Linked DNA regions of Sus scrofa. The protein of the gene in region 2 purifies or fractionates together with the protein of the main gene of each other region. This does not show direct contact. Links are inferred from orthologs where the notes say so. Each region holds a gene or a part of one and is shown on either strand. Other genes may lie near its edges.

Region 1 (6,035 bases), on a different chromosome or scaffold from region 2:
GGTACAGTGGGTTAAGAATCTGACTGCAGCAGCTCAGGGTGCTGAGGAGGTACAGATTCGATTCCCCACTCAATGCAAGAGAGTTAAAGAATCCTGGTGTTGCCATGGCTGTGGCACAGATCGCAGATGCAACTCAGATTCAATCCCTGGCCCAGGAACTTCCAAATGCCTCGGGTGCAGCCATTAAAAAAAAGAAAAAAAGAAACACTGGATTAAACAAAGTTAACAGGTTTATTTGCAGAACTTCCTAAAACTGAATCTCCAAAAGCAGAATTTCCCAAACTTATGTATTACAAAACTCTTTCTACCTTCCACTGCTCATTACCAGGACCTATCAACTCTTCTCTTTCCAGGGACATATCTGAGGAAATGTTCATTAAGCAATTACTTTCTTTCACAACTACTTTATACCCAGTATGACTTCTAAGAATATGTAAATAATATTAGTTTTATGATTTAGCCTAGAAGCCATTCTCAGCATCCCTCACTAGCCTCAAAGTCATTACACGGTATAATTAGAGAAAAGCATTTTAAGGATTCATTTCAGGATATTTTTTAATTGCAGCTTTCTCACTGCTTTTAAATATGATATTATTTACAAGTGTGTCATTTGTATATACCATCAGACCAGAAGGATATAACGCCACATTTCTAAAAAACAGAAAATCCGTTAAAAGCTGTGGATAGCTCAAGTGAACTGAGACTCTTTCACAAAGCCAAAGGTAAAACAAATTAAAAACGGCAAAGTGAATTCCAAAGAACCAAGAATAAGAAGATAACAAAATACATTCGGAAAATTGGCACACTATTTTTCTCTGGGAGATTCATAATGCTTATTAGCACATTAAATGTTCCAGTAAGTCCTGCAATTTAAAAAAAGCCAGTTCAGGAGTTCCCACTGTGGCACAGTGGGTTAAGAACCTGACTGCAATGGCTTGGGTCTGACACAGAGGTTAAAGGATCCAGTGTTGCAGCAGTTGCGTGTAGGTCACAGCTGTGGCTCATATACAATCCCTGGCCAAGAAACTTCCATATGCCTTGAGACTGGCCATTAAAAAAAAAAAAAAAAAAAGCTGGTTCAACACTGTTTACTCTGTTGCTTCTCAAATTTATTTAACCATAAAATCTCTTTTCTTCCTTCTCAGTAACACTTATTAACATCCGGAAACAATCTGGTAAGTTTCATAACAGTTTTATCAGTATTTCTGACTGGAAAAGGCATATCAAAAAGAACTGTTAGACCTCATTCTTTCGCTTCAACATTCTTCAATGTTGAAAGGGAATAATCTTTTAGGGAAATGTGAACAAGCAGCAGGTAATTAGAAGGTAAACCTCTAAATTTTCCCAACTAATCTCATTCCCACTCAATTTCTCTGCCTAGAAATTTTATTTTAATAATTAAGATGGGGGAGGGAAATGAAGACAAACTTATCTTCTTAGCAGTAAACTTTCAGAACTTAAAGAGGAAATAAAGTATGGACCCTATTCCTGGAATCATGTAAAACTCTGGTAGAGGTTAAAATTAAAAGCAGGACCTTAGAAATGCCTCAAATACTAGTTCTTCATTATCACCTGTTTCCTCAGCAGTAAAACACTGGAATGCGGATACTGGCGTTATGAAAACCCCAATATCCAATCTCCACCCTAAAAGCCTCACCCTTCTCTGAACTTTTTCTAAACCAATCTAATTTTTTTTTCTCTCTTTTAATACACCTGTACTTTGACTACCTTTTTTCCTGGAACAAGATGAAGAAATGACCACAACCAGAGAGTCAGGTACTTGACTAGGCACACACCTTATCACTCAGGAACAGTTAATTACCAAACAAAGCACACTAGGGATTAATCTGTTTGCAAATTCATTACCTCACAGTAATCAAAACCAAATCACCTGCTTTTGCAAAACCATTCTACTACCTAGACATAGCAAAAGAATAACTGAATCTAAAGTCAGCTCTACAGCTAATAATTTCAACAAGCTATTTATAGTTGTTTCTGTTTTGTGCCTTTTTTTTTAATCTACTCTAAATTTAAACCTGCTCCTCATTTCAGAAGCTGACATTAGCACAAAGTTAAAACACGGGAATAATATACACTAATGAGTACAAAATAACTCCTGCTCAGTTCCTCTTGACAAAGGCTACAAAGAATAAGTCCCCCAGAAAGCTTCAAATTCTATTACAGTCATACCACCCTTAAAAAAAGTATTCCTTCTTCCAGAGTTAGGTCAGTTGTACATTTCAGTAAGAAAGGTAAGAACTCAATTCTTTTTTACTGATGATAGCTAAGTAAATACCAATTTTAGAGCATATCAGTCATTCCAGATATAATTCTGACAATTCCTTTTAACTCGCACTTTTAGGCGATATTAAAATGACTAAGTCTCAAAAAATGGAATAAAAGGGCCTAACTTTATGTATTAACTGTTCTAGGTAAAACAGTCACTAAATGTTCACCAACATTTTTCACAAGTGTTTCAAGAGGATGGTACACGTAAATGATAAATGATGTAAGATCTATCTCCAGGGTCACGTCTGGACCCATTCACAAGATATTAATTAGCCACGGTTTCTGTTGAGACCCCCCCCGGGGGGGGGGCCGCCGCTGCGGGGGGGGGTGGTAGGTGGCAGGAAGTAAGATCGTGCATAATGCCATTGTCGTAGCTTTAGCTAAGGTTCGAATTTCTTCTGGGCCTGCCCGAAAGAAAGCAGCTACAGTATTTTTTAAAAGATAAATCCTGGACGAATGCAATCAATAAAATTCAAGAGACCTCACCTGATGTTCCACAGGTTGCCTCACTCACCTGGTGGACTCTGAAGTCACTCCCCTCCACACCTCAGTTCCCTCAGCCCTCGCTCCTTTTCCAATACAGACCTTTCTCTTCCCTCCTGGTTTGTGTCTCGGTGCAAAGCCCTCTCTGGCCCCCCAGATTCCCTATAGGACCCGCCCTCCTCTCAGGTGCCTTTCTAGGTTCACCACCACCCCGCCAGCTCTTAGAGGCCGGCCTCCGCCCCCAGCACCCGCAGTCACCACGGGACGCCCCCTGCCCAACACCCAGGCTTCGCACCCTCCCGACTCCGGTTCCCGCCAGCGCAACCAAACCTCAGCGGCGCCCGCACCGCACCCCAGCACCGCCCCGCAACACACCCCCCGCCCGCGGCCCCCTTACCGCACATGATGCAGGAGGCACGGTCGGCACAGGAAACAGCGAGTGGCTGGCGAGTTCGGGAGCTCACACGAGCCTGTGGGACGATCTCCGGGCTTGGGGGCCAAGGGGTAGCCGACACTACAGCCTCAGAGATGCGGACAGCCGAGGCAACGACAGCGGTCTCGGCCTCCCGGGCTAGCGAACAACCGCCGCCGGGCCCCGCCCCCCGGCGCGCACCGCGCCGCCGCCGCCGCCCGCAAGTCCCATTGGACCGCTTCCGTGCCGCTCACAGGCACGTCCCGCCTCCCCGCGCCGCTCCGCCCCATCCCGCCCCTGAGCCCACGCAGGCGCTGGCCTGCTGGCTGCCGAGACGTGGCACCGGCTCGCGGTCGCATCCGCTTGAGGTTCCTGGAGCCGCCCTGACTAGCAGCGGGAGGTACTACGCTGTGGGGGAGAAAGAACTCGCTGGCTGGCCGGGAATGACGGAGAGATTAAGAAACAGGATGGAATTGTTAGCAAAGCAAATAGCCTTGGGGAGTGCGCCTCGAGCAGACCAGGGCCTCAAGCTATGGCACCCCCAGGAAGCGGGGAGAGAGGAGGAAGAAAGCAGGAAGCTTGATCCTAGGGGACAAACAAGTCAGGTGGAAAGGAGACATAAGGTTAAAGAAAAACTATGAGGTGAGGTCAGGTTCAGCCAGACTTTCTGGTGACAGACGATTCAGTTCAGGACTTAAGCTCTAAAATCATATGCTTGGCCTCTAAAACCCTCTGCTGCCCATTTCGATCCCCATCCACTGCTCCATAAACCAGTTTTTTGCGGAGGAGGGAGAGGTCAAATTTTACAACGCAACTATCGAACGCTGTGCGCCCAGCCTTAAAAAACTCTGCTACCCTAGACTTGAGATGGCCCACGGGAGAGGACTGTAGGAACTGCCTCCATTTGGTAGACGTACATTTGACTCTGAATGATTAATTCTATAAATTAATGCACCATTGCTGGCAAGAGAGACTTAATCAGAGAGAGATGATGTTTCTGAAAATTTATTACCTGAGCATTTGCTTTAAGATTTAAATGCTATCTTTAATCAAATGTAGATGGTTATCATAACTCTATTAATGGCCCAAGACTAGAATAAAATAAAAACTTAGGGAACATACAGAACAGTGCATGATCTTCTTATCCTAGGTGTTTGGTCTTAGCTCACACTACTGCTCTCTCCCTTCCGCACCTTTCAACACTTTACACTCCAACAAACCTGGGAGCAGGTAGTCCCGAGTGGGCTCACATTCTCACACCTTTTTTACTCTTTGGAATCCTCACTCCACCTCTGCCTAAATGCTGCCTCTTGGAGAAAACCCTTTGTGTCTTCCCCAGAGACTTAAGGACATTCATTCACCTCACATTCTTTGAACTGCCCCCCTTAAAGCAACATGCTTCTATATTTTATGATTTTTTAAAAAATATATTTCCCTACAAAGCTGTTTCTTAAGGCTATAGTCTTTGCAAACCCGACATCTAGTATAAGCCCTAGCAAAAAGGGACCAAAATGTTGAATGAATGAAAAAAACAAGTGGGAAAAAAAAAATGTTCCTAGCAGATTTGCCTTCCTAAGGCTAGTTACCTGATTAAGTGAGCAAAGGGCTTTTCAGTTTTTCTTAGAGGGGAAAAGATGCCCTTTTAGCATTATCTGGAAAAGATGAAAACTCTGATTAAAAAAGATACATGCAGTGGCAGCAGTAGACTGTTTTTCTTGGTCCTAGGGTAAGAGAATTTGCTGCCCAGTGGCTTAAGACTTTGGCTTTGTCTGAGAGATGGGTTGGGAAAGTGGCTAGGGCTTCATGCCTGTCTGCCAGCCGCTCCTGGCCATCTCCCGGGGGCCTGTGCCATCCTGAAAGGCTCTCTCTGTCCCCTGCCTGCTCCAAATCCTTCTAGAGAGCTACTTGGTGGCAGCTCAGGGAACAAACTCCTCTTGTGTCTGAGACCCCCAGCTCTTTCATACTGTTGCACTAGTCTACACTTTTCCCTTTAAGAATTCATTAAAATTTAGCTGATTTCTTTTGTGGGAGCCTCCATCTCCACTTGTCACCCTTTGGAATCCAGTTTCCTTGTTTGCTTTGCTGTCTCTCCTCTCTGCTGGGCTCGATAAATATTATAATCTGTATATTATCCAGCTCCTTCTTGTTGTTTGGGTAGAGTAATATTCCCTTGTATCTTCCTACATTTTAAGGAAAAGTAGAACTTGGTCCTAAGGTTTTTTCATTTGTTTGTTTTTGTCTTTTTGAGGCCACACCCATGACATGTGGAGGTTCCCAGGCTGGGGGTAAAATCGGAGCTGTGGCCCCTGGCCTACACCACAGCCATAGCAATGTGGGATCGGGGCGGCATCTGAGACCTATACCACAGCCCACGGGCACGCTGGATCCTTGACCCACTGAGTGAGGCCAGGGATTGAACCTGTGTCTTCATGGATGCTAGTCAGATTCACTTCTGAGTCATGACAGGAACTCATGGTTCTAAGTTTTTAATGAATGTTAATTATGTATTTGTCTTTGATGTTGGTCAGTATCCCCAATTACTGAGAGAGAAGAGGTGGCAAGTGTTACTACACAATGAAATCCTTCCTCCTTAGTCGCCGTGAGCTCCTTACTGTCTCTAGTGTTAGCCTAGTGAGACAGACACCTGTCTTAGGCAACATTATTGGCCTTTGCATAATGGTTTGTAAAAAGGGAGCAGACAAAGGGACCACTACAGCTCAGGTCAAAGAAGTAAGCTTTTCTGGGTTCAGTAAGCTTTTAGAACTTACTTACTGTCTGGCCTGGATCATAATGTCTTTGCCACATGTCTTATAGTCCATGCCTGTCATTCTCAAAACCCACATCTGGGAGC
Region 2 (5,419 bases):
TGATTTTCTAAACCATGAGTAAATACTAAAGCAATGAGCTTTGAGCATGAGAGTTAGAGAGTCTTACACTGAACTTCACTCATTTATATGCCAAAATAAAGAAAACATGTATTTAAAAAAAAGAAGAAGAAGAAGAAGAAAAAAGAAAACGTGTATCCATATAGCACTGGTGGTTGTTTTTTCATCCAAGGAAGTCAATAAAATTTAAGAGGTAAGCCCTGCTGGACCTCAGGATCAAACGTGGTGCTGGAAAAATGTACTTTGCTTGAAAGGATAGATGAGGTGAGAGAAACCAGCAACATTCACATGTGGACACGTGCGCCTCCCTGGGGCAAAGGTGTGCAAGAGAAGGGTAAGAACTACTTCGGACACAGAAGGTATTTCTGCACTTCTACATCAGCTAAAGGTCAGAAGAGGTTATCTCAATGGTATCTTTGGCCTTCCCTAAAATTATCAACTTAAATAAACTCTAAAACTATTGGTCTACAGGAGTTCCCGTCCTGCCTCAGCGGTTAACGAACCCAGCTAACACCCATGAGGACGAGGGCTCAATCCCTGGTCTCGCTCAGTGGGTTAAGGATCTGGCGTTGCCATAGCTGTAGCAGACATGGCTCGGATCCTGCGTTGCTGTGGCTGTGGCATAGGCCAGTGGCTACAGCTCCGATTCAACCGTAACCTGGGAACTTCCATATGCCATGGATGCGGCCATAAAAAAGACAAAAGACAAAAACAAACAAACAAACAAAACCATTATAGGTCTACAGAAGTGGCCATGAGACAGCGCTCATATACATGCCTGCCCCAAACCTCCATGCTGAATGCGAGTCACCATTAGAGACTGCCCTGATTTTTGCCATTAAATCCAGACAATTAGTTTCCGAGGAGAGAGAACTAATTTCATGTCTGTTTTCACTGACCTGCCCAGTTTGATAGAAATAAAGGATTAGCCACAAAGAGTAGACAGAGAAGCAAATAAAAACGCAAAAAGAGATGGCACAAGGGACAGAAAGTAAACTTCTTTACAGCGGTGACCAGGTCAGCACGTGCGGAATCCGACAGTTATCAGATGCTGAAAGACAGACAGCACCTACCTGGGTTACTGTGATGACATCTCTCAAGCACTCACCTGGGCCAAGACACTTTCCATCTCTGATTTCTTCTCAGCAGAGCACTTCTTGTCAGACATCAATTTCTGTAAATGAGCTACAAAAACAGGGTTGGTAAATGTCAATTTCGATCGGTCAGAAAAAAAGGACCATGTACTTTTGAGTGTCAACGCTGGACAGGTAAAAAAAATGAACCCAAGGATAATGTTCTTAATTTATATGAATCCCATGGTTGATTTTACAGGGAGAGTCATAGTATTGTCTTGGTTCTTTTGGTGCATTAGAATTTCCAATGATCTTATACGTGTACACACACACACACACATATACACACACACACACATATACACACACACACACATATATATATACACACACACACATATATATACACACACACACACACATATATATATTTTTTTTAAATGAGGGACTAGATCTGTATACTTATAAGATCTGTGCACTTACTCTTTGTATGTTACATCCCAAGAAAAAAACATAATGAAAAATATTTGAGATTAAAGATTAATCCAAAGCCTTTGTTTTGATCAACTACTTGAAAGGATATTTATCTGAGATAAAGAACCATACCTTTCAACAGATGGTCAGCCCGAAAACACTCTCCATTTTTGACATCCTTCACCATGAAATCAGCAAACTTGTCTACGTGGCCAGAGGTCCTAAGTTAATAAATGCCAAGCCAATTAGTCATTTTCATACGAATTAACACATAGATTTTTACCTTGTAAGACAATCTCCCTTCTATATGTTTAGCCATAGTTTACATCTGTGAATCTGAAAGATGAAAGCTTCCATATCTATTATGATCCATCCCACAGCAGATAAAAATGTATGCCTGGAGTTCCCCGTGGCCTAGTGAGTTAAGGGTATGGCATTGTCACTGCTGTCTCATTATTATTAGTGATCCAAGCAAAGTCCAAAACACGAGGATTCTGACTACCCAAGAATTTGTGATAACTCAGTATAGACAATGAACCTAAAGGATTTTTCTGCCACCAAAACCTGCATGGACACTGGTATTTATCTCTACGCAGTTCCCAAAAGTGGAGCAAGGAGTAAAGAATTGGTTGTTCTGATCTTATATCCATCATTAAGAACTCAATTTGTTTTAATTGGCTGAATTCCCTTGCAGCTCAGCAGGTTGTGGTGAGGGTTTGATCCTTGGCCTGGGGACTTCTGAATACCATAGGCACAGCCAAAAATAGACAACAAAATAAATAAAAATAAAAATTTAAATTTAAAAAAAGACAGGAAGGATAAATACAACATTTTTAACATGGCTATCTGTGGGCAGTAAATATTTTCTGTTTTTCTTTATTTTCTAGATTTTCACAATGAACATGGGTAGTTTTTTTAATCAGAAAAAGTTAGTTAGAATTTCCACCTCAAACTAGAAATCTTACTTTAAAACTGGCTCGGGGGTGAGCATGGTGCAATCAATCTCCAGGATCTGTTCCTCTTGGATAAAGTGCTGCCTCCAGGTCTGAATAATATTGTTCTTCAAAGCACATCCAACTGGCCCAAAATCATAGAGGCCACTAACACCTGCAAAATACAGGAGGAAAACGGGTACTTTCCCTTGTTACTCTGAACAAATTAAAGCAAGGAGACACAAGAAACTGATACTTTTAAGACTTCGCTTACTCCCTAAAAATGTATTCAAATTCCTCAATACTGAAGAGCCTTATTTTCAGCTAGCTGACAGAGAGGTAAAATGAAAATACTCTCATTCCATTTACTATTTCCAAACTTGAAATTTCAGGTAGGATTAGCAAAAAACTAGAAAAAGTAAAAAGACCTTCCTCCATATATAAGAAAGAATGCAAAGGCAGATTATAGATTTCTGCTATAGAAATCAGAAAATAATTTGTTGTATCAGCTGAATAAATATGATCTCAAATTTTAGTAGCCAATTCTCTAAAATATTCTTGAGTATTTGAGCCACCATTTAAACCTCAAGAAGTTAAACACTTAGAGATCTGCTCAGACTAAAACTCAAATCAAGGTCGGTAGCAAAGTACTGAAAGTCTAATATTGTTGCAATAATCTCTGAAAACTATGAAAAATACCATTCTACATTTAATCAGTGAATTATATTTGTCTACATAAATTCACGTGGTGTTCAGAAAAGATGCAGATGTATTTGCGTACCTATGAAGCACGTTCTCTCCTGGCAGCTGCCACAATGACTGATCTAGGAACTATGGTTTATCAAGCCCTTGTGTGCAGGGGCACAGTGCAGTCGGCCAGTGTACAATGGCCCCTCCTGCTCCCTAGGCTCCACTGGCATGGACACATCAAGTGTTTAATATCGGGACCCCCCTTAATTCCCTAAGTCCTAATGCAAAAAGTCGCCTTCAAGAACAAGGAGGGTGTAGGGAAACAAGAACAGACATCACACCAAGTGACCAACTCGAAACAAATGACAGCAAGATAACTAGCCTCTGCTTCGTGTGACCGGATATAATTAGCTACCAATTGGCAAGCTGTGTTTCTGATTTAAGAACATTAAATCAGGAGTTCCCGTCATAGCTCAGTGGGTTAAGAACCCAACTTAGCATCCATGAGGATGTGGGTTTGATCCCTGGTCTTGTTCAGTGGGTTAGGGATCTGGTGTTGCTGTGGGCTGAGGTGTAGGTCGCAGACATGGCTCAGATATGGTGTTGCTGTGGCTGTGGTGTAGGCCAGCAGCTGCAGCTTCGATTCAACCCCTGGCCTGGGAACTTCCATGTGCCGCAGTTGCGGACCTAAAAAAAGGAAAAAAAAAAAAAAGATTATTAAATCCACTAACAACACAATTGTTCTTTCTCTCATCAGTTCCCTACCTCCATAAATAGCAAAAGCTTGATCGTAGAAAAACCTCCTCTTCAGGGTATCTTCCATTTTTGCTCTGTCTACCACATCATCTTTGGGCTGTAACGCTAGCTCCTATAGGGATTTTTAAAGAGAAAATACATGACTGGAGGAGTGAGTGGGAATTTCAATTTACACACATGAATTTGTTTTATTCCTCAGCAGAATTCAGTATAAAATTTATCAGACAAGATTTGGAGACCCTTAAAACAAGAGAAACCTTAGGGTGTTTTCCCCTTTGAGTTCCAGAAAAGACACCCTTACTTAACTATTTAGGAAAGTGTGTGATCATTTCCAAGACTATCAGACTAAGCTTACTTAGATGCAGATACTGAACCAATACTTGATTTTTCAGTGGATCACTGTAGGGAAAGTGACTTAAAACTTCAAACTGGGAGTTCCTGTTGCGGCTCAGTGGTTAACGAATCCGACTAGAAACCATAAAGTTGTGGGTTCAATCCCTGGCCTCGCTCAGTGGGTTAAGGATCCAACGTTGCCATGAGCTGTGGTGTAGGCCAGCCGCTACTGCTCTGATTCAAGCCCTAGCCTGGGAACCTCCATATGCCGCAGATGCAGCCCTAGAAAAGATAAAAACAAACAAACAAACAAACAAAAACTTCAAACTATTCCAGTTTGGTGATGGGAAATTTATAATTTGAAAGTTCGGGAGCATGTATCAGGTGAATAGAACTTTACCTTAAGAGAAAAAAATTTAAAACATCATCACTATTATTTGCAGACATCAGGGAATTCATAAGAACACAATGCCTTCCAGGAACATTCATGGAACATAACCAGCCTAGGATGTAAGTCAGGGCAGAGAAGGGATGGGTCAGGGAGGAGGAAGGCTTTGAGAAAACGTGACATTTTGAGTTATACGCAGAAGGGGTGAGGAGTCTGCCAAGTAGAGGAGGAGGAGAGGATTCTGGGTAAGTAGAGATACAGCAAATGTGACTAATTCAGAAACTTTTCTAGGTCTCTCCCACCCAAAGAGACTAAATAAAGGTGAATAATTCTATACCTACTTATGTTCCTTTTTCAGGATCCCCTAGACTCACCTTTGCTTCCAGAACCCTCTTCCGGGCTTTGAGCTCAGCGACTGCTTTGTCTACATCTACTTGGGGTGCTTTATCTTCTTTCAGTTTTCGCACAAGGTCTCCCTAGGCAACCAAGAGAATGCGTATTCAGGACTGGTTGGTTTCCAGAAGTCAAGAAAAGCATTTTGAAGCACGCCTTGTAAAAAGTGTAAGAATGAGGAAATTCAAATGTTTACTATGTGAAAAAAAGTTCCTTATGAATAACTGAAGGTCTCTGCCCTCAGCCTTTATAATCCAGCAGAATATACAGATGAGTACATAAATAACCATGCTCACAGGGTGATTACTACTGGTTTGTTTTTTCTCTTTGTGAGGACTGGATGGATGGAGGAGAGAAAAGCA
Region 3 (5,419 bases), on a different chromosome or scaffold from region 2:
AAGGGATAGTTCAGTCCCCAAGCAGGGTGGAGTGCAAGGGCACAACTCCTCATGCTGCCTAGGACTGTGTGCAACTTAAAACCTAAGACCTTTTTTTTGCTTTTTGGGGCTGCACTCATGGTATATGGAGGTTCCCAGGCTGGGGTCAAATTGGAGCTGGAGCTGCCAGCCTACACCACAGCCACAGCAGCATAGGATCCGAGCTGCGTTTGCGACCTATGCCACACATCTCACGGCAACACCAGATCCTTAACCCACTGAACAAGGCCAGGGATCAAACCCACAACCTCATGGTTCCTTGTCAGATTCATTTCTGCTGAGCCATGATGGCAACTCCAAAACTTAAGAATTTTTTATTCCTGAAGTTTTCCTTTTAAGCTATTTGGACCACAGTTGACTGTGGGTAACTGAAACCACATTAAGTGAAACTGCAGATAAGGGGGACTACTATACTTCAACCTATAGATGCAAATATGATATAAGATTATGTATTCCAGAAGAATGTTTTTCACTGAAAGTTTTGAGGGTAATCGCTCTTTCTTAATTCCCCCAAGAATCCAACTTGACTTTAAAAACTGCATTTGATTTTGGAAGAATGGGGAAATCTCAGGGCAATAAAAGGAAACTATAGCTTTCTTTATTTCTTAGCAAAGTGACTCTGATTTCTTAAAAAGCAATTTTTTGACTTTTATACTTAAGAAGCTCTTTAGTTTCCTAGTGGAGTGCTACGTATGGAATATTAGTATGGTGTCATCGTTGGACGGGGTGGAAATGTGCTGAGAGAGGGAGGTCCAGGCCTCTAAGTTGACTCAGGATGGTAACTGCAGCACCTGAGAAGACAGGATGTTTGGGAGCCTAGAAGTGCCCTAATTCTGCTTTGGGCTTGGGAATGTTTCTTACAAAGCTGAACTTTAAAGGATAAGGAGTCATTGACTAGCCAGAGACAGTAGGAGCCTTGGGGAAGGAAGGTGGTAGAGGATATTATCAAGGTGGAGGGAAAGGCAGTGAGGTGAGAAGCTGCATTCTAAGGAACTTGCCTTAAGGCTAGCAGGGGGACTACAGGTGAGCCTGGGAGAGGCAGCTACCCACCCACTACAGATAGCCCACCTGTTTTTCGTACTCTTACTTTGTTTTGTTTTTTTGTTTGTTTGTTTGTTTTGTTTTTTTAGGGCCGCACCCTAGGTTCCCAGGCTAGGGGTCTAATCAGAGCTGTAGCTACTGGCCTATGCCACAGCCACAGCCACAGCAATTCAGGATCCGAGCTGCATCTGTTGACCTACACCACAGGTCACAGCAATGCTGGATCCTTAACCCACTGAGTGAGGCAGGGATTGAACCTGTGTCCTCATGAATACCAGTCAAATTCGTTTCCACTGAGCCACGACAGGAACTCCTCGGACTCTTACTTTGTAGATGATCAAGAGGCCCTGCTAATGAGTTTGAGTAAAAGCATTTGTTGTGTGTATGATCTGAAGACTAGGTCTGAGTGGGAATTGGCTGGCTGTGATAATGGGATTGCTTAAGGGACTGGGGCAGTCCTCCAGGTGGAGAGCGGGACAGGAAAGCTTGTGTACGGTGGGGTTTCATAACACAAAGCATCTTTCCTGGGATGAATTCACAGCAGCAGCGGCCACTATGGGTCTGCTGTCCTGTCCGTGCAGAAAACATCCTCCTAGGAGTGAGCTCAGTGCTGGGAGAGCATTAGGTTCACAAAGCTTTATACAAAGGGTCTAGTTTACAAGTTTACTCACTGATGTTCCTATGTGATTGGTTATTAACTATTTATTGCAGGGTCCCAGAGTTTGTGCGTGAAAAGCGATTTGGAAATTGGCTGAAAGATGCACGTGACTGGGCAATTTCCAGAAACAGATACTGGGGCACTCCTATCCCACTGTGGGTCAGTGATGACTTCGAGGAGGTGAGGCAGGGCAGTGTTTCCTTTCGTTGATCTCTGTTGAAGTACTTCATTCATGCATCTCAAGGTGGTGTAAAAGAGTATTTATTTCTTTTTTTATTTGCCCCTTTCTTTTTTCATCAATTATTTTTTCTCTGTTCCTTCCTAGAATCATGACAAATAAGAGTATGTTTTCAGGGTTTTAATTTGTTTTTACTTTACTTTTATTTTAAATGTAAGTATTTTCCCTCTGTGTAAAAGTGAAGGGTACAGTTTGTATTTTTCTCAGGGAAATCCTTACATTGTTTTTTTTTTGTGTTACTCAGATCTCTTTTTCTCCTTGTGAGTTTTTCATGGACAGAGCAGACTCCACACCCTGCACTAAGTCACAGCATATTAAACTGACCTTGGAGTAATTGAAAAGGACAATTTAAGGAGTTCCTGCTGTGGCACAGTGGGATCGGTGGCATCTTGGGAGCCCTGGGATGCAGATTTGATTCCCCAGCCCAGCACAGTGGGTTAAGGATCCAGTCGCAGCTATAGCTCGGATCTGATCCCTGGCCGGGGAACTCCATATACCATGGGGTGGCCACAAAGTAGGGGAGCACTTAAAAGAAATTAGCAAAGCATTGCAAACCTTTATAAAATCAAGTGTTTCTTCGTGTATCTCTTTATAAGTACATACAGATGTACAGGAAGTGCATATATATGTGTGTCTCTATATAAATATGTACATACATATAGAAGGTATTCCCTTCTATCCAGGGCTGAGAGTGATAGAACAGTCATGAGTAGTAGCAACCCTGGGACCTCAGTAAATCTCCAACAGGGACCTAAAAGGCAACAGTGAAGGCTGAATTGGAGGACTTTTCAGGACTGAGCAGGAAGGGCAGAGAAAAAGGATGTGGGTGTTCATTATGTAGCAGATGACCTCTCGGGGCGAACATGCAACTGTTTCTGCTGGTATGGCCCAGCTGCTTAGCCTCTGTCGATGTCTCCCCCTGTCCTAAGTGTCCCTGCTGGACCCTTTCCCAGCCTCCTTACATGAGCATAATCCTATTATCTTGCAGTCTGATCATTTCATCCAGTCCATGCACACTACATCAGTTCTAGTTTTGGCTTGGAAAGATTTCAGATTAAAGAGACAAATTCAAATGCCAGGAAGAAACTAAGATACCTTAGAGCAATAGTCTAGGCAGTTTCACTTAAGCTGTTTATTTTTGGCAGAGATTTGGGCATCATAAGCCTTCAAGAAATACTTACTGAAATGGTGGGATTAAACTCTCTCCATGTAGGAGTCCCCTCTGATATGGGGGAGGCAGCAAAGAAGTGAGCCCTGCTCTACTTGTTTATACAGGGACTTCGGGCACAATAGGTTAAAGATCCAGTATAGCCACAGCTGTGGCATAGGTGGCAGTTGCGACACAGGTTTAATTCCTAGCCTAGGAACTTCCACGTGCCATGGGAGCGGCAAAAAATAAACAAGACTGTAGGTCATGAACGGCTGAGGGTGAGCCACATTGATTGCAAACGTCTTGAAGATCAAAGGTTTCTCAAACTAAATGTGAATTAACATATAAAGTAATATAAAGTAACTCTGTGTGATCCTTGGCTCTGAGGCACTCTGGCTTTTTAACTTTGTTTTGACAGGTAGTGTGCATTGGGTCAGTGGCAGAACTTGAAGAACTATCAGGAGCAAAGGTCTCAGATCTCCACAGAGAGAGGTCAGTTTCTGAATGTTTGGTGCACTTCAGTTCTATTCTGAGAGTATCGGGCTAGGTCCTAGCCAGTTTGAACATGGCCTCTATAGCAGATCACAGAGTCACATGTAGAAATCAAACACTAGATTGCTCGATTACTTTGTTGTTGATGATTCTGAGGAAAGGTGGCCTCTGTCCTTGAGTTAAGTGTCAGGAGACTTTGGCATATATATAACCTTTCAGATTGAGCACTCATAGTGCTCTCTGAAAACCTGTGATAACTGTCAGTATTTCTGTTTGCAGATGCATATGAAAGCTGTGAGGGCATTCTGTTTCCTCTTGGCAATTAAACTGTAAGTTATGTTTTGCTTAAAGTTAATAGAAATGGCTACTTCTTTGTTTATTAGCATTGACCACCTGACCATTCCTTCACGCTGTGGGAAAGGATTGTTGCATCGCATCTCTGAAGTGTTTGACTGTTGGTTCGAGAGTGGCAGCATGCCCTATGCTCAGATTCATTATCCATTTGAAAACAAGAGGGAGTTTGAGGATTCATTTCCTGCAGACTTCATTGCTGAAGGCATTGACCAAACCAGAGGATGGTATGTTCCTTGTTCTTTTGAAATGTTTTATTGATTTGATTTGATGTGATTTGATTTAGCAGGTTAACTGAGCACCTAGCACTTGAAGTGCTGGGGAGATTATGTTAAGCAAGACAGGCTTTGCTCCTGCCCTCTGTCTCTCACCACCAAACATCCCATAAAAGTATCTTTTCAGTAAGAATCTCTCAGAACTCTAGGGCTGTAGCTTCAAATTATAGTTTGAATTATTTGACATTTTGGAATACAGAGATTTGTTATATTAGAAGAATAGGTGATACAAAACAGTGTTTACTTTTGTTTACTTTAAAACAATGTCCTCTATTCAAGTCATTTACTCGAATGTTTAGTATTTACATACAAGATGATGTGTTGGGTGCTACAAATTTGAGGGAGCATTGAAAATATACTCAAATGTTAAGGCTAGCTTTATAAAATTAATATTCTTAAAAAATCCAGATGGGTGTGGGGGGGAGCATAGGGAGCATTTTGGCATTGATCTCATCAGGCGCCTTATCTAAAACAGTACTCTCATTTTCTTAATTAGAAAAAGATGAGTTATCTTCACTTCATGGATGAGCTTGGCTGACCCAGGTTCTGATTATACTTTCCATTAGTAATGTTTCTGCAGGAGTGTTTAAGGAATATTGGTGTCATCAGACGGTCCCATATAACCTCATATTAAAGGCAGTACGCCTCTCTGGATTTTCACCCTGGCATTTCTGGGAGGTCTCAGAGGCCGTCCCGGCGCCACCCTGCTCTGCCTTGGGGCTGTCCAGTAGCTCCCCTGAGGAAGGTGATAATACTGTTCCCAGCAGGGAGTCACTACCTCACTCCAGGGCTTTATTTGCTTTAAATAAAGCGCATTTTATTTTTTTCTAGTGAGAAGCTCTAGTATGATTGCTTTGCAGTAGGTCCAGAGCCTAATTTTTCAGCACTTTCCGGATCATTCTAATGTGTCACCGTTGCTTTAAGTGATTATCAAGAAGTGCAACTTACCTAAAATAGAAATTCAGTCCAATAAGTAAACACAGTTTTCTTTCCTTTGCTTGAATTCCTTTTCTTATTTTATTGAACTCTTTCTCTGTGGATTCTTTTTGCCCCAGGTTTTACACCCTGTTGGTGCTGGCCACAGCTCTCTTTGGACGGCCACCATTCAAAAATGTGATTGTGAACGGACTTGTCCTGGCAAGGCAGGTTACTCCTTTGTGTAATGATGAGTTCTA

The links.
Region 1: the proteins of GARS (region 2) and GFPT1 fractionate together in Homo sapiens (co-fractionation; 3 studies listed by BioGRID, with this or other methods). This does not show direct contact. The link is inferred for Sus scrofa from reciprocal best matches to the Homo sapiens genes GARS1 and GFPT1.
Region 3: the proteins of GARS (region 2) and IARS fractionate together in Homo sapiens (co-fractionation; 3 studies listed by BioGRID). This does not show direct contact. The link is inferred for Sus scrofa from reciprocal best matches to the Homo sapiens genes GARS1 and IARS1.

Annotation. Positions count from the first base shown.
Region 1 is NC_010445.4:73,026,092-73,032,126, reverse strand, and holds the start of GFPT1 (glutamine--fructose-6-phosphate aminotransferase [isomerizing] 1), read right to left. Parts: upstream 3,378-6,035; 5' UTR 3,177-3,377; coding exon 3,170-3,176; intron 1-3,169.
Region 2 is NC_010460.4:42,337,353-42,342,771, forward strand, and holds part of GARS (glycine--tRNA ligase), read right to left. Parts: intron 5,141-5,419; coding exon 5,039-5,140; intron 4,056-5,038; coding exon 3,953-4,055; intron 2,673-3,952; coding exon 2,531-2,672; intron 1,787-2,530; coding exon 1,698-1,786; intron 1,204-1,697; coding exon 1,127-1,203; intron 1-1,126. UniProt on the Homo sapiens protein: Catalyzes the ATP-dependent ligation of glycine to the 3'-end of its cognate tRNA, via the formation of an aminoacyl-adenylate intermediate (Gly-AMP).
Region 3 is NC_010445.4:41,983,547-41,988,965, reverse strand, and holds part of IARS (isoleucine--tRNA ligase, cytoplasmic), read left to right. Parts: intron 1-1,791; coding exon 1,792-1,918; intron 1,919-3,544; coding exon 3,545-3,618; intron 3,619-4,001; coding exon 4,002-4,196; intron 4,197-5,299; coding exon 5,300-5,386; intron 5,387-5,419. UniProt on the Homo sapiens protein: Catalyzes the specific attachment of an amino acid to its cognate tRNA in a 2 step reaction: the amino acid (AA) is first activated by ATP to form AA-AMP and then transferred to the acceptor end of the tRNA.